2 linked regions of the Tamandua tetradactyla genome follow. The protein of the gene in region 1 interacts with the protein of each later gene in a biochemical or structural test. Links are inferred from orthologs where the notes say so. Each region holds a gene or a part of one and is shown in the gene's direction. Other genes may lie near its edges. The genes, in order: DDX39A and SARNP.

Region 1 (8,043 bases):
TTTCATGAAGCTCCCTGGAAGGCGTTTCCTTCTTCATCTCCAAAAGTCACTGGCTGTGGACTCTCTGCTTCATGGTGCTGCAGCATTCTCTGCTCTCTCCGAATCTTCCATTCTCCAAAATGTTTCCTGTTTTATAATATTCCAGTAAACTGATTATACATGTAGAACGGAACGAGCATATGTTAAGAATGTTTGTGTTTCAAGACCATCAGGAGTTAGAAACAGGGTAAGATATTGGGTAATTGGAGCTGAAGGGATACAGACTGTGCAACAGGACCGGATACAAAAACTCAGAAATGGACAGCACAATACTACCTAACTATAATATAATTTATGTTAAAACACTGAATGAAGTTGCATGTAAGAATGATAGAGGGAAGAGGGCTGGGGACATAAATGAAATCAGAAAGAAAGATAGATGTTAAAGATCGAGATGGTATAATCTAGGAATGCCTAGAGTGTATAATAATAGTGAAATGTACAATGTCAAATTTTAAAAATGTTTTTGCATGAGGAAGAACAAAGGAATGTCATTATTGCAGGGTGCTGAAAAATAGATGGTAATTAATACTTTAAAATGTCACCTTATGTGTGAGACTAAAGCAAAAAATGTTTATTTGTTACAAAATTTAGATTTTGACTAGAGCATTTCCTAATATAACTCATGTAGATAGTTTGATTGAATGTCATAAGTACTTGGAATCTCCGGTAGGACATGAGATTTTGTTGGTTTGCCCAGAGTGATGCCCCGATGAATCCCAGAGTGATTTGATCAGTGAGTGGAAAACTATTTGCAAAGCCCCCTTCAGGGAATGGTGAGAATGGGGAGAAATTCAAGTTCCTCAAGTTGAATTCTTGATATTCTCACAAGCAGTGTGGACAACCAAAGCTATAGGCTGAGCCCCCAACCTTGCGGTTTGTTCATATGAAACTTAACCCCACAAAGGATAGGTCAAGTCTACTTAAAATTTAGGCCTAAGAGTCACCCCCAAGAGAGCCTCTTTTGTTGCTCAGATGTGGCCTCTTTCTCCAGCCAACACGGCGAGCAGTCTCACCACCCACCCCCTCTCTGCGTGGGACATGACTCCCAGGGGTGTGGACCTTCCTGGCAATGTGGGACAGAGATCCTGGAATGAGCGGAGACTCAGCATCAAGGAACTGAGAAAAACCCTAGAATGAACTGAGAATTAACATCAAGGAATTGAGAAAACCTTCTCGACCAAAAGGGGGACGAGTAAAATGAGACTAAGTGTCAATGGCTGAGAGATTCCAAACAGAGTCGAGAGGTTATCCTGGAGGTTATTCTTATGCATTAAGTAGATATCACCTTGTTGTTCAAGACGTAGTGGGGAGGCTGGAGGGAACTGCCTGAAAATGTAGAGCTGTGTTCCAGTAGCCATGTTTCTTGATGATGATTGAACAGTGATACAGCTTTCACAATGAGACTCTGTGAATGTGAAAACCTTATGTCTGATGCTCCTTTTAGCTACTATATCAACAGAAGAGTAGAACATATGGAATAAAAATAAATAATAGGGGGAACAAATGTTAAAATAAATTCAGTTTGAAATGCTAGTGGTAAATGAAAGCGAGGGGTAAGGGGTATGGTATGTATAGTCTTTTTTTTCTCTATTATCATTTTATTTCTTTTTCTGTTGTCTTTTTATTTCTTTTTTTAAATCGATGCAAATGTACTAAGAAATGATGCATATGCAACTATGTGATGATATTAAGAATTACTGATTGTATATGTAGAATGGAATATCTAAATGTTTTGTTTGTTAATTTTTTTAATTAATAAAAAAAGTTTAAAAAATGTTTGTGTTTCTTTCTTGTAATTTTCTTTTAATTTAAAATTAATAATAAAAAAACAGATGTAATATTAAAAATACTATTTGATTTTGTTGGATGAATTTGCAATAAATACATTATTAGCTAAAAAAAAAACAGTTTCCAGTAAACTAATCAAGACCCACCCAAATGGGTGGAGACATGTCATCACCTAATCTAGCTTAACAACCACTCTCGATTAAATCACATCTCCAGGGAGATGATCTGATTACAGTTTCAAACATACAATATTGAATAGGGATTATTCTTTTGCTTTTATGAAATGGGATTAGATTAAAACATGGCTTTTCTAAGGGACATACATCCTTTCAAACCAGCACACACCGTAATTACATGGAATCTTGAATAGGGTATGAGATCTTATTGTATACAGGTTAGTGTGATTCCCTAATACATGCCAGAGTAATGTGGGCATGGAATAAAAAAGTATTTGCAAAGTCTCCTTGGGGACTAGGGAGAAAGGAGGAAATATTAAACTTTCCCATCTGGGGAATTCCTGATTTTCTCACAAGCAGTGTGGACAACCAATTTAATCGGCTGAGCCCCCAATCTTGGGGCTCACCCCTATGAAGCTTATTCCTACAAAGGAGAGGCTAAGCCTACTGATAATTATGCCTAAAAGAGCCTCTTTTGTGGCTCAGACATGGCCTCTCTCGCTATAAGCCATGTTAGCAGATGAACTCACTGCCCATCCCCCCTACATGGGTCATGACCCTGAGAGGTGTAAATTTCCCTGGCAACGTGAGACAGGACTCCCAGGATTAGCCAGAACCCGGCATCATGGGATTGAGAGAGCCTTCTTGACCAAAAGGGAGAAGAGAGAAATGAGACAAAATAAAGTCTCAGTGGCTGAGAGATTTCAAAGAGAGTTGAGAAGTTATCCTGGAGGTTATTCTTATACATTATATAGATATCCCTTTTTAGTTTATGGTGTATTGGAGTGGCTAAAGGGAAGTGTCTGAAACTGCTGAACTATGTTCTAGTAGCCTTGATTCTTGAAGAAGACTGTATAACTATTTTACAGTCTTTTACAATGTGACCGTGTGATTGTGAAAACCTTGTTTCTGATGCTTGTTTAATCCAAGATATGGACAGATGAGTAAAAAAAAAAAAAGATAATAAATAAATACTAGGGGGAGATAAAGAGTAAAAACTGTGTACATTGAAATACTGTGGGTCAATGAGAGGGAGGGGTAAGGGGTATGGGATGTATGAGGTTTTTTTTTCTTTTTATTTCTTCTGGAGTGATGCAAATGTTCTAAATATGATCATGATGAAGAATACACAACTATGTGATGATATGCTGAGTCACTGATTGTGTAATACAGTTGGACTGTATGTGTATGGACATTTCTCTATAAAAAATTAAAAAAAATAGATTTATCTTGATTGCTGAGGTTTTGGCACCCTCTTAAATTTTGCTCCTGGGTGAATGCCTCGCTTGGCTCACTTCTGTCCTGGCCCTGCTGGGCACATAACAAGTGCTATACAAGTGCATGGAGTAATTAAGACATAAAATGACACGTTCATATCATTCAAATCTTTCCACCAGTTGGCTTGGATTGACTGGTTCCTCTTCTTTGGGCTTTTTGACCTATATCAACTCTCAGACTTTGTAGTCTGAAATCTAGACCCAAAGGCAGCCTACACTAAATGAAACTGACATGCTAGAACTTCTCCAGAAGGTTATGGAGGAAAGTGCTCCGGGCTTAGGGAGATGGGAATACTGGAGCCGGTTTATCGCATATACTCACTCCCTCACCCCCAAATCAGGGAAAAGACCAACAATACCAGGTGTGGGAGCAAACGGAACTTCCACAGTTGCTAGTGGGAGTGCAGAATGGAAAAAACACCTTGGAAATGGTCAGTATCTATTAAAGCTGAAGCCATACACACCCATGTGTGAATGGCCCACCATTCTGCTCTTCAGTGTCTGCTCCAGAAAATGAAAAACCTATGCTCTCAAAGCAGCTTGTACCAGGGTGGTTTTAGCTGCTTTTTAAATGATGACCAAATGCTGGGAAACAAACAAATATCCCTTGACAGGTGAATAAAGAGACTATATTGCCTATACTACAGTATAGCCACAGTGGAATACTACTCAGCAATCAAAAACAACCAACCACGGATAGACCCAGCAACAAGGATGGATCGCAGAGGCATTAGGCTGAGCAAAAGAAGCCAGACACAAAAGACAACCCACTGTATGATTCCATTTATATGAAACAAGAACAGCCAAAACTAATCTGTGGTGACAGACACGTGGATAGTGGTTGCCTGGAGGGGGATGGGGGTGAGGTTGACTTGAAAGGGGCACAAGAGAACTTTCTGGGGTGATGGAAACTGCTCTGCATTTTCAACGAAGTAGTTGTCACTCGGTGCATCGATCAAAATTCACTGATCTGTTCCTTTCACTCTAAGTTGTACTTCAGCAGCTTACTGGTAAAAAAAGATAAACGGGTGGGGGAAATTAATACTAGGAAAAAGTAAAATTAACACAGAGTTTCAAGACCTAAAAAAAAAAAGCTGTGTCTTGTGGCCTACACTTGCCATGGCCTGGCAGTGTCCGACCCAGGTCATTGCTCTGGACAAATGGGAACCGCTGCGTACAACCATTTCTCAAACCCTAACGACCTGAGGAACCCCTTACTCTCAGCCCTCCTCAGAGCCCTTTCAAAGAGGCTGCCGTGGAGGACCACGAAGCCGCAGACTGATGTCCACTTCGTGATGAACACTTGAGAAGGTTCCGCGCCCAGCGCAGACGCCACGTTTCCTAAGGGTAGGGCCCCCGCCACAGGTCAAGCACCCCCGGCTTCGCCCGCCAGTACTAAGCATGGCTGCTCACACCGAGGGCGGACGTCCGGTCACGTGACGGCGCGCGAGCCGGCTCCCACCCCCACCAGTCCGTTCGGGCGGGCTACCTTTAGATTGGCCAATGAACGTGAGGAGTGGGGCACGCCCTCTTACCGCTCTTCACCAATCGCCTTCAGAGGTCTCCGGATGGCCCAATCGCCGCCCCCGGCTCCCTTTGAATGAAAAGGCAGCGGTCCAGTGAGTGGGCTGTAGTCGGCCGCAGGAAGGCAGGAAGCGCCGAGGTTCGCGTCGGGGCGCGCGGTTGATAAGCAGAGTCGGTCAGTTCTTCTCCCAGCACGCGAAGGCGAACAAAGCACTAGGTGAGCGGCGGAGCTGGGGCCTGGGGTGGCCGTCCGGTGGCCCGGGACTTGCGAACGAGCGGGCTAGGGGAGACGCCGGGGGTTGAGGGGAGGAGGAGGAGGAAGGGGCGCGAAGCCGGGGTGTGGGGGCGGGGCGGCTGAGGTGCGCGCGCGCCGCAGCCGTTGGGCGCAGGGGCGCATGCGCGAGGGGGCGGGCCGGCCGTTGGCGCGAGGGGCTGCTTCCGGGAACGGCTGCCATGGCCGCCACGGGCAGCCCCAGTTTAGCTCAGTCCGTGAGAACGAGCTTACCTTCTTTCACAGACTTCACGGTGCCTCTGGGCGGGAGGTCCGGGAGGTGGGGCAGCGGTAAGAGAAGCCGAAGCTTCGAGATGGGACGGGCTTCTCCGAGTCCGAAGGACTCCCCCTTCCCACGACCCCCATTCTGTTTCTGCCCTACCTTGTGGGGAGTGGGGCTGGGGGCGATTCGAGGTTTTCGACCTTCGGAGCAGAAAAGACGTTCTTTTGGAAATAGAAGTCCCCAGTGGGAAAGGAAGCCCCCCGTAGCACTTAGCGACGTGTCTGGGTTGTCTTTTCATCCCCGCGTCAGCCTTTAAATTCATCCCCTCGGGACTCAGTCTCCGCATCATTCCCTCTGGGCGGGACACAACCCCGCCGTGTTTTCTCTCCTGATCTATTTTGTTTTGAGCTTGAGATCCCTGTCTAGCCACCCCCTGAAAATGTTTGTGCTTCACTCGTCTGTCCCCATGCAAATTCACCCCCCCACCAAAACCAAAATAAACAACTTCCGTTTGGCTTCCCTATTTCTTTTAAATACGCTGTTGCCTCCTGGTCACCAGAGTTCAAAGCCCAGGGTAGATGATTCTGGGTCTTATGTTTCTTTGGGTCATCCAGGGGATGGCTCATCTGTGGGTTGTTCACCTTCTCCTTCCCTACTCAGTGTCCCGACCCTGGTTAATTCTCTTTCATTTCCATGACCGGTTTTCCCTGCTCTTGGTCTCGTCCTCACTTTCAGATTAAATTACTCTTGGGAAATCCTGGTTGAGTCACTCGATTCCAAAACCTGATCAGTGGTAAGTACAAATAACCTGGGCCAGATGAGCATCTCCAGCTTTGTCTTGTATTGTCCTACTCTGCGTTCCCCAAAAAGTTCTGATGCTTTTTAGACTCACCTTTCTTGGCTCCTGTTCTTTCTCCTGCTACCTGAGAGAGGATGCCATCCAGCCTTGATGCTGCCTCTTCAAAAAATCAGAAGAGGAGATATAGTTGTTTTAGCTCATAATCGTGCCATTGTTTAGTGAGTGCCTGGGTAGGGTAGGCTATGTGTACCAGGCACTGGAGATGCAACAGTCAACAGACCAGCTAGTTGGATGAGAATGACAAATGTGTAAGGTGTTAGGCTGGTGTGACTGGCAGGGGTCCTTTCAGTTGGGACTGTCAGGGAAGGCCCTTTTGAAGTGACATAATTTAAGTGGAGGCTTGAATAAACTGGGAAAGATCTGTGAATTTGTGGGTGGAGAGTTCCCAGCAGTAGGAGCAGCAGAGGCACTGAGGCATACTTGAGGCACAGCATTGAGGCCAGGGAATGAGGGGCATGGGGGAGATGAGGTCTGAGCATTGAGAGTCGGCTCATCTGTGTAGGAGAAGAAGGCATGATGGGAGCCAGTGGAGGATTTTGAAGATAGGAGTGATATGACCCGGCTCAGGTTTTAAAAGGCTTGCTTTGCTGCTGTGGGGGAGTCAGTTGAAGGGGTGAGAAAGAAAGCAGGGAGGTTGTATGGAAGCTACTGGCATAAACCAGGCCACACTATCCGAGTGTCTGTCACTGACAAATGGATAAACTGTGGTCCATCCAGACAACAGAGTATTATTCAACCATAAAAATGCATGAAGTTCTGATGTGTGCCACAACATAGATGAACTTGGAAGACATGATGCTGAGTGAAAGAGCACAGTCACAAAAGATCACCTATTGTATGATTCCATTTATACACAGTGTCCAGAATAAGCAAATCCATAGAGACAGAACGATCACTGGTTGTTTGAGATGGGGTACACTGTATAGTGGAGTGATGGCTAAAGAGTACAGGCTTTCTTTTTAGGTGATGAAAATGTTTTAAAATTCTAAACTTGTTTCTGAATATACGAAAGACAATTACGTTATATACTTTAAATATAACGGGATGGCTCATCTGTGGGTTGTTCACCCTCTCCTTCCCTGAGTTATATGGCGTGTGAGCAATAAAACTGTTCTAAATAAATTTTTTTTTATGAGAGAGTAGCGATGCTGGCTGAAGTCAGTGTGGTAGGAGGGGTGAGAAGGGGCTGGGAAGGACTTTTCTGGTGGATTGGACAGGGAGGAAGCGAGAGAGAGACAGAACTATGGAGTGGATGGAGTTGTCCTTCACGAGGTGGGGGAAGCAGGCTTCAGGGAGAAACAGTTCTGTTCGGAGCATTTTGAGTTCAACTTCCAAGGGGAGACCTGGAGGAGGCAGCTGGGTAGTGTCTGGCATTCAGGTGGGAAGTTGTTGCTGGAGACAGACCTTTGGGAGGCATCAGCATAGCGGTGCTTAAAGAGCTGGGATTGGGCCTGGAGGAAGTTGGGGAGGGTGACAAGGCCAGGGGCTGGGCTGTCCTGCAGGCCCAGCAGGGAGCTTGGGGAGCGATGGCTGGGTGCAGCCTGAGTGCATTGGAGCTGAGGATGTGGCCTCCCTGCAAAGCCCTGGGAGCAGCATTCCAGGCAGCAGCAGTGGCAGACTTGGTGGGGGGTGGGTGGGATGGTGAGTCTGAGAAGCAAAATGAGGCTGGGGCTGTCTGAAGGGGATTGGTAGGGGAGGAGGTCAGCTGGGCCAGGGCGAGGGTTGTAAAGGCTGGGCTGAAGAATTGGGGTTTTGCACTGAGAAAAGTGAGAAGCTGCTGGAAGTGCTGGGTGGCTGTGACCAGGCCGATTGTATTTGGTGGGGAAAAGCACCAAATATTTGGACTAGGGTGATGGGTGGAGGTATGGAGTCCAGGTGAAAGG
Region 2 (7,287 bases), on another chromosome or scaffold:
GCGTCAGAGGTAGGTGGTATTTCTCTTCAATCACCCATCCACTATTCTAGTTGTGAATATGGTTTCAGATGACATATTGTTTAGGACATCTAGCAGGAAGTTTAGGAACTCAGTCTTGTTAACTCAGGTAACCAAATGACTCTAGCAACATCTCTTGCTTCATTATTTCTTATTTCTCTTTTAGAGCCACCCCATATGCCCCTCCTGCTGACCTTCAGGATTTTTTGAACCGGATCTTTCAAGTACCACCAGGCCAAATGTCCAATGGAAACTTCTTTGCAGCATCTCAGCCTGGCCCTGGGGCCACTGCTCCTTCCAAGCCTAACAGCACAGTACCTAAGGGAGACGCGAAATCGAAGCGGCGGAAGAAAGTGAGGAGGCCCTTCCAACGCTGACACCCCTTCTCTTCTTTCCTCAAATCAGTGTCAGGGAGTCAAAGGGCTGTGTACAGCACAGGATGGAGTTTGATTTGTTTATTTTTAAATATTTAAAAAAGGGAAAAGTTTAAGCTCAAATTGTTTACTTAGTACTTGTAGGAAGTCCCTGAACCACTTGCTCTCTTCCCTCAACACCCAGGAACTGAATCTTGTCTTCTGGCAATACCAAAGAAATAGGAGGTGGCTAAAAGCAAAGAACCTAGGGCCTCAACCTTGACTGGACAATATATCCTATAGTGGTGTGGGAACTGGTTATTTCCCTGGGGTCTGTATGCCTTTGTCCTGTCTTTTGCTTTTAGAGCAGATGACACTTTTTTTCTTTTTCTCTTTTTAAACTGAGTTTATCTTATTTCTTGACCCATTTCAAGAGTGAATTCCCCCACCCTCATCCCTATAGACTAGTTAAAAGACAGAACAAGAAAGCATGTAGCCCAAATTATAGGAGATGTATAGTTCAGAGAGAGAGAACTCTGAGTTCTTCCATCCACTGACTTTCACCTTTGTGTATAATCACCTAATTACAGGCTTGCTGTTGCTGCAGGGATGGCCAAAATTAATCATTTTTTAAAAGCAGACTCATACCCCTCTGCCCTTGGGTGAGGGGGAAAAATAAGGGGGTTCCCAGCAGCCCCCTTATGATCTTAGGGTTTGTATTTTTTAAGTTTGTTCATATTTGTATGTACATATCTATTTAAAGCCAGGGGATTATCTTTCTATAAATATATAACTGGCAACCTGTATTTTCCCTCTCTTCTTTGTCCATTTAACTGTAGTTCTTTTTCTCATTTGAGTACTTTCCATAGTTAGCCGAGAGTGAAGGGCACCCCCTATTGAACCACGGGAGAGAGGATAAAAAGTAGTCTTAGAGAAGTTAATATAGTAAGTCATCATTCTCTCTTTCCCTACTTTTCCTGCCAACCAATTGTAGCCATATCTGAAAAAAAATATCTTTATTATAAGTAAAATACACAGCAAAACAGAGCTGGAAAAGGGGTGTGTATGTGGAAGATATGGAAAATTTAATCACCAAATAAGCTGCACATACATGGTTCCTGCTGTGGAGATTTGGCCCTTGTCTCACCTGCCTTTGCTGATTCAAAGAAACCTACTCCTAGCAGGGTTGGGCCAGGGAGCCCCATTTTCCAATCTCTTCTCTTCCTGGGAGTTTGGGAAAGGTTGTACAGTTCTCAGTCTTTCAAGATGAAGATAATATAAAGAAGGAGGAAGGATGTTAACAGCCCTTGTTCCAATGTCTTCTCCATGCCTACAGAGCTGTTCCCAGTCCCCTCTCTCAATATTTGTTGATCCCAAAGAGACGAACCCCGTGGAATTGGGGCAACTTTGGCAGCAGAACACTGAGTAGCGAGGCTGTGTTGATGAAGAAGTGAGCAGCATCATACTTGGTGTAGAAGCTGGCCAGGAGGTAGCTGGGAGAGAAGAAAAAGAATGAATTCATATTAATGTCTTTTCAGTGACTTTCCTTTTATATTTTAAATTACCAGTTCTACTGCATATAGTCTTAGGACATCTGAAAACATTACAGCCATAGCAACACTATTTATTTTGGGGTTGGAGAGATCTTAAGATAGCACCTTTAACTGGAGATTATAAATCAGATTATGTGTTTCTTCATTGTTAATGACAGGTGGCAAATGACAGCTGAAGCTTTTTCAGCCTATATGAATGTTAAGAGTCTTAATTTGTTTCCAGTCCCCACAGTTTTCATAGATTCACATCAGTCCTGTCTCTATTCACTTCTGTTTGGAAGTGTAAAGTCATTTGATTTTATTTGGTGTTTCATCATTTTTCAGTCCCTTTCCATTCTCCTATCATCAAGGGAGGCAGCAAGGAATGCTTAATTACTAGCTTCTACTTTTTACTTCTTTCCCTAGTAACTAGTATACCATGATATTTCAGATAGGTAGTCTGCTTTAATGCCTCCCTGTGGGTTTTTGTAGCTGGCTTTTTAAAGTGCTTTCCAATTCAGCATTGCCCATTACCCCTCCTTTCCAAACTCACAGTATAATAGGAGAGATGCTAAGGAACTTGCGGGAAGAGGTAAACTGGAGCCCATAGTCCATCTGCTCCCAGTGTGTCAGGAGCCGTGCCTTTCCTTGGTCAGGGGTCTCAAAGGGTGTACCTTTCACCGTATGTAGAAAGACATACATAGCCTAGGAGAGAAGGGACAGGGTGAGGGGAATAGAAAGTAGTCCTTCAACTCAAGAATTCTGCTAAGGTAGTAAATGGTTGATTCCTAAAGGAAGGCAAAAATCCCCAAATAATTGGGAATTTTATTATTTATTAATTGATTTATTTTTGTTGGGGAAAGCTTGGGGTGGGTGTAAGAGTGTGGTTTAGTGCTTACCAAGTTATGAATGACATTGGTCAGGGTCCAGACCACAGGAATGCTGAAGAAGGGGATGCTGAGTAGAACTACATGCAACAGTCCTACCAAGATGATGTAGGCCAGCCAGATGCCACGGCTATTCATCACTCGAGTGTTGGGATTTACTTCACTGTGTGCCACCCCCACATTCATCCTATTACAGTTGGAGAATCAGGCAGAAATATAGTTCAATTTCCTCTAAGCTCCTTTTTTTTTTTTTTTTTTTTTTTTTTTTAAAGGAAAGACAGAGAGAAGGAAGGAAGGATAGAAGGAAGGAAGAGAGGAAGAAAGGGAAACATCTTTTAAACATTTTCTTGTTTTATTGTATTTTGTTTCTCCGTTTTCGTTACATGGGCTAGGGCCGGGAATCGAACCGAGGTCCTCCGGCATAGCAGGCAAGCACTTTGCCCGCTGAGCCACCGCGGCCCGCCCTCCTCTAAGCTCCTTTGAGCTTGTTTCCCAATTGTTTCCTGAATAGCCAAACCCCCCTGAACTCCACTGAGAATGAAAGAACTTTCCAATCATGCACAAAGGGAAAACTATAGTCTTGGGGAAAATTTTCAAAGGCAAGAAGCTCACCCTACATTTTAGAGACATATTATTGTATTTTTTCTGATTCTCACAGTTCAACTTAATGTGAAGTATCATGCCTAGGCTTGGGGTACCTGCTTCAAGGAAAAGGAGACACTTAGGAGTATCTCACTTTATTATCCTGAAAAAGTTAATAAATCAAGAGAAGTTACAAATCTAGATTTCCCAGAGGGTCCTGGGATTCAATCAAGGAGGGCTGAGGAGGTAAAGCTACTCCTAGTTCCCATCTTCTCCTCTGGGGCTTGTCCACCCTGTCTCATTTCCTTTGCACGTAAGGAACAAACATCCTCATTCCTTCTCTCAAGCGTGGGGTGCTGCAGGAATTTCCCCCTGGGCTTCTAAAGGACTAGAAAGGGACCCAAGTTCAATACCTCGAGGCATGGAGCCCTAGCCCCTACTCTAGGGTCGGTTCTGGTCCTCTGAACTCAGCTCTAAAACAGTGCAAGTAAAGCTGACGACTGGTTAGGAAGTGGCCCTTGCCTGCCACCCCTCTATCTAAAATTCCCTAAATCCTAATATTGACCCCGTCCCATGCTCTTCCTGGCTTCCCTCTATTATTAATCGATTCCCCTTAGGGAACCCTTCAGAGCACCTCCGCCACTTTCCTTTTGTCTCTCCATTTTTACTCAGTACCCTCTTTCCAGTCTCCCGATAACGCCTACCTGCCAGCTTCAGTGGCCCGTCCGGCCTGTGCACGGCGCTCGCTTCCACACCTCTGGTCTCCAGGAAGCAGCAGTCCTCCGCCTATTTGCATTCTTCTTATTGGTGGAACAGAATTAGCGCTGCCACCACCCATTGGTTGGCGGTGTGCAATGGAACACACAATTGGTCGCCATTTCCGTCATTTGGAGGGTGCAGAACCGGTCCTTTTCCCAGTCCCACCTTTTGAGAGAGGTGGGGATAGTTGAGGAGGGAGCTAGAGCGACGTCAGCTATTAACTAATGGGAAGAGCTGATGGTGTGGGGTGGAAGTAAGAGTGACAGCGATTGGTCGGTCATGGTTCTGCGCCTAGGCGGGAGCTCCTGGAGGCGGAGGCAGCGAGTGGAGGGGGTAACAAGATGGCGGCAGAGACGGTGGAGCTGCATAAGCTGAAGGTACTGCGAAGCGGGGCAATGGTTGGGTTGGACATTTCTAGCAGCTGAGTTTTGCACGGTGGGCTGTGCCTTCTTCTCGTTCTCTCTGCAGTCTTTTCTTTTTCGTTTTCCGGCTCGTTCCGTAGTTAGCTGGTTTTTCTTTTGTGCTTCCCTTCTTCCCCGCTACGCCTTCCCTAATTTCCCATTTCTCCTTGCGGTTTTACTGTTATCTTTATCTGTTATTTCGGCGCCCTGGCTTTCTTGGCTGTACCATCCATCACCTCCCTTTCTCGTCTCTTGTCAGCGCCCCATTACGTCAGGGTTTTTCTTCTCATCTCCTCTTGCCGGAACCAGGACCCCTTTTTCTTCCTTGGGTTGATGTTTCCCTGTCTGTTGTCTATAGCTGAGATTTCCCTGTTAGCTAGGCACCTTTGTTTATTTCTGAGTCCCAAATGTGATCCAGAAAATGCTTCCACTCCTTTTTCTAGTGGGTTTACGCCCCCTTGAGTGAACTTTGAACCCTAAGGCCTTAGGCCTCCGGGTTGAGGCTTGGGCTTCAGGAGGGTTTAAGAGTTAGTCAGTGCACTGACACCTTAGATTTATAAGTTTTTCGAGTTGTCTCACTTACACCCTCCCACCCCCCACCCCACCCCCCCGACAGCATACACATACATGCTTCCTCCGAGAGAACTTACAATAGCAGCCCTGTAGAAAAACAACTCCAAGGCTGGGGTTGTTTTTGTCTCATTTCATATCACCGTTAGATCCTGCATCTCTTGGTGTCACTATTTGGTGGCACTTCGAATCACAGAACCTATTTCAAGTTCTGTGTCAAGTTCTGTGTCTGTATCAAGATGTGTCTTTTGGGAATCTTGATAGCTTTTTCACACTTAGATTATCATTTACCTGGAAGAAAAAGTAGGTTCTTTTAGGGTGAATTAAGAGAGTGGCTTTATTAGTTGGCCGGTTGTGGCTTCACAGATAGTTTTCTCATCACATGTTTTGGTCACTTAATCTTGGGTCTTTTGGACAAACCAGGCTGATTTAATCCACAGCTGAAAACTGATCCTTCAGAGCTTGATGACCAGTAGTTTAAGGGGGAGAAGAATAGGGAGAGAACTTCTTTAATCACATGTTAGTTGACACTAGTTAGCCTTTCTTTGAAAGCTGATGTATTTTTAACCTTGGATTCTAAATTTTATAGTGAGTTTTTTTGTTGTTCTGGAGTTACTGTTAAGTTGGTGGTACTGAAACATGTAAATTATATCAGTGTTCTAATATTTATCATGATGAATAGAAAAAAATTGAGCAGTCATTGCTATTATGTGTATACTTATTCATATATAAATTACATAGATACTACTGTATTGTTATGTATGTTATAAAATATACATTAAAGAGAATTTTTGAATGAATGGGCTAAAAAGGAAATATGAATTGAAGATCTAGTATTTTCTTCTTATTTATCCCATTTTTGAAATCCCTGGAGTAAATTACTAGCTTCCCCTGTGACTTGCTTTTATGGATGACAAATCTGTTAGATCTGTATTAAATTTGCATTTGTTTGGTTAAGTCACTTTTACAAAATGTCCTCTCATCTGATTTCAGGCATTATAATTTAAGAGAACTTGAGGCACTCCCGACAGCCTGAAAAGGACTCACTCTTTTAATCACATTTGCTTGTCTTTGCTTTTTCTCTAGAGCACTTCTTAACCTTTTGGAGGTCACAGATATCTTTGAAACTCTGATGAAAGGTATGGACCCTTTCCCCAGAAAAAGGCATGTACACGTATTTTGCATGCAATTGAGGGGCTTCATAAAACTACTTTGTAGCCCTAAGGAGTCCATGGACCTCTGGTTAAGAACCCATACCTTTAATTCTGACTTCCAGGTTAGTTAATGTGTGGTTTTTCTGGTAATTTTGATGGAATAATCCTGACTTTTGCTTTGACTTCAGGTTTTCTCTTTTTAAAGAAAGTCTCCATTTTTATAAGGGACTTTAGCATGGGACCTCAAAGGAAGGGAAGAAACTTTGAAACAGAAAGAAAAAATATATATTATCTGTTCGAATTGATGTGAAAGTCCATATTGACTGCTGACTTCTGAAGTCTGAAGATTTTACAGAAATGTGGTCATTTTAACACAACTAGAAAGAGAAAGAATTGTGGATGAAAATGTCTTTTAAACTGTAACAGTACCAGATTTCCAGTCAAATGTGGAAAAAAGGGTTCTTACAGAGGGGAAAACAGTGAGTCATTTGTATCATTGAAGCATAATGTACCCATTATGAGTGGTTAGAGGTTGGAAGGAAAAGTAGGTGAACTATGTGCCTATAAAGGTTGAGTAAGTGATACTATAAAGGGTCTTACCAAGTCGTGTAGGGCATATGGCTTTTGTCGTGTAGGCAGAAGGGGCTAGTCTTTGGAAATTTGAAAGGAAGAGCCTGATGTGACCAGTTTATTTTCTGTTGGTAGTATGGAGAATGGAGTCTGCAGGGGGAGCGATTTCATCAGTTAGATGTTTAGTATAATAGTCACTACTCTGCATAAAACTTTTTATGATATCCCTATTGGTCTCTCCAGCTTCGTTTCTCACAGCCCAACCACATTGGCCATATTTGTTTCCTCATAATATCTGTGTTCATTAACAGTATTGATGGAAGCTGTTTACATATGATAATTGATTGGTTGAGTTCTCACAATAGCCTTAAAAGATAAACGTCACTATTATACTTTTTTTTTTTTTTTTTTTTAAAGGAAAGACAGAGAGAAGGAAGGAAGGAAGGAAGAAAGGGAAACAT

What was found.
Region 2: the proteins of DDX39A (region 1) and SARNP form a complex in vitro, tested with the Homo sapiens proteins (2 studies listed by BioGRID). The link is inferred for Tamandua tetradactyla from reciprocal best matches to the Homo sapiens genes DDX39A and SARNP.

Annotation. Positions count from the first base shown.
Region 1 is NC_135337.1:88,527,964-88,536,006, forward strand, and holds the start of DDX39A (ATP-dependent RNA helicase DDX39A), read left to right. Parts: upstream 1-4,892; 5' UTR 4,893-5,024; exon of another isoform or gene 5,025-5,149; intron 5,150-5,211; exon of another isoform or gene 5,212-5,369; intron 5,370-6,036; exon of another isoform or gene 6,037-6,094; intron 6,095-8,043. UniProt on the Homo sapiens protein: Helicase that plays an essential role in mRNA export and is involved in multiple steps in RNA metabolism including alternative splicing. Regulates nuclear mRNA export to the cytoplasm through association with ECD.
Region 2 is NC_135333.1:122,802,548-122,809,834, reverse strand, and holds the start of SARNP (SAP domain-containing ribonucleoprotein), read left to right. Parts: upstream 1-4,268; 5' UTR 4,269-4,472; coding exon 4,473-4,508; intron 4,509-7,287. Other genes in the region: ORMDL2 (ORM1-like protein 2), read right to left, coding at 1,729-1,864, 2,457-2,608, 2,803-2,977, 4,077-4,210. UniProt on the Homo sapiens protein: Binds both single-stranded and double-stranded DNA with higher affinity for the single-stranded form. Specifically binds to scaffold/matrix attachment region DNA. Also binds single-stranded RNA. Enhances RNA unwinding activity of DDX39A.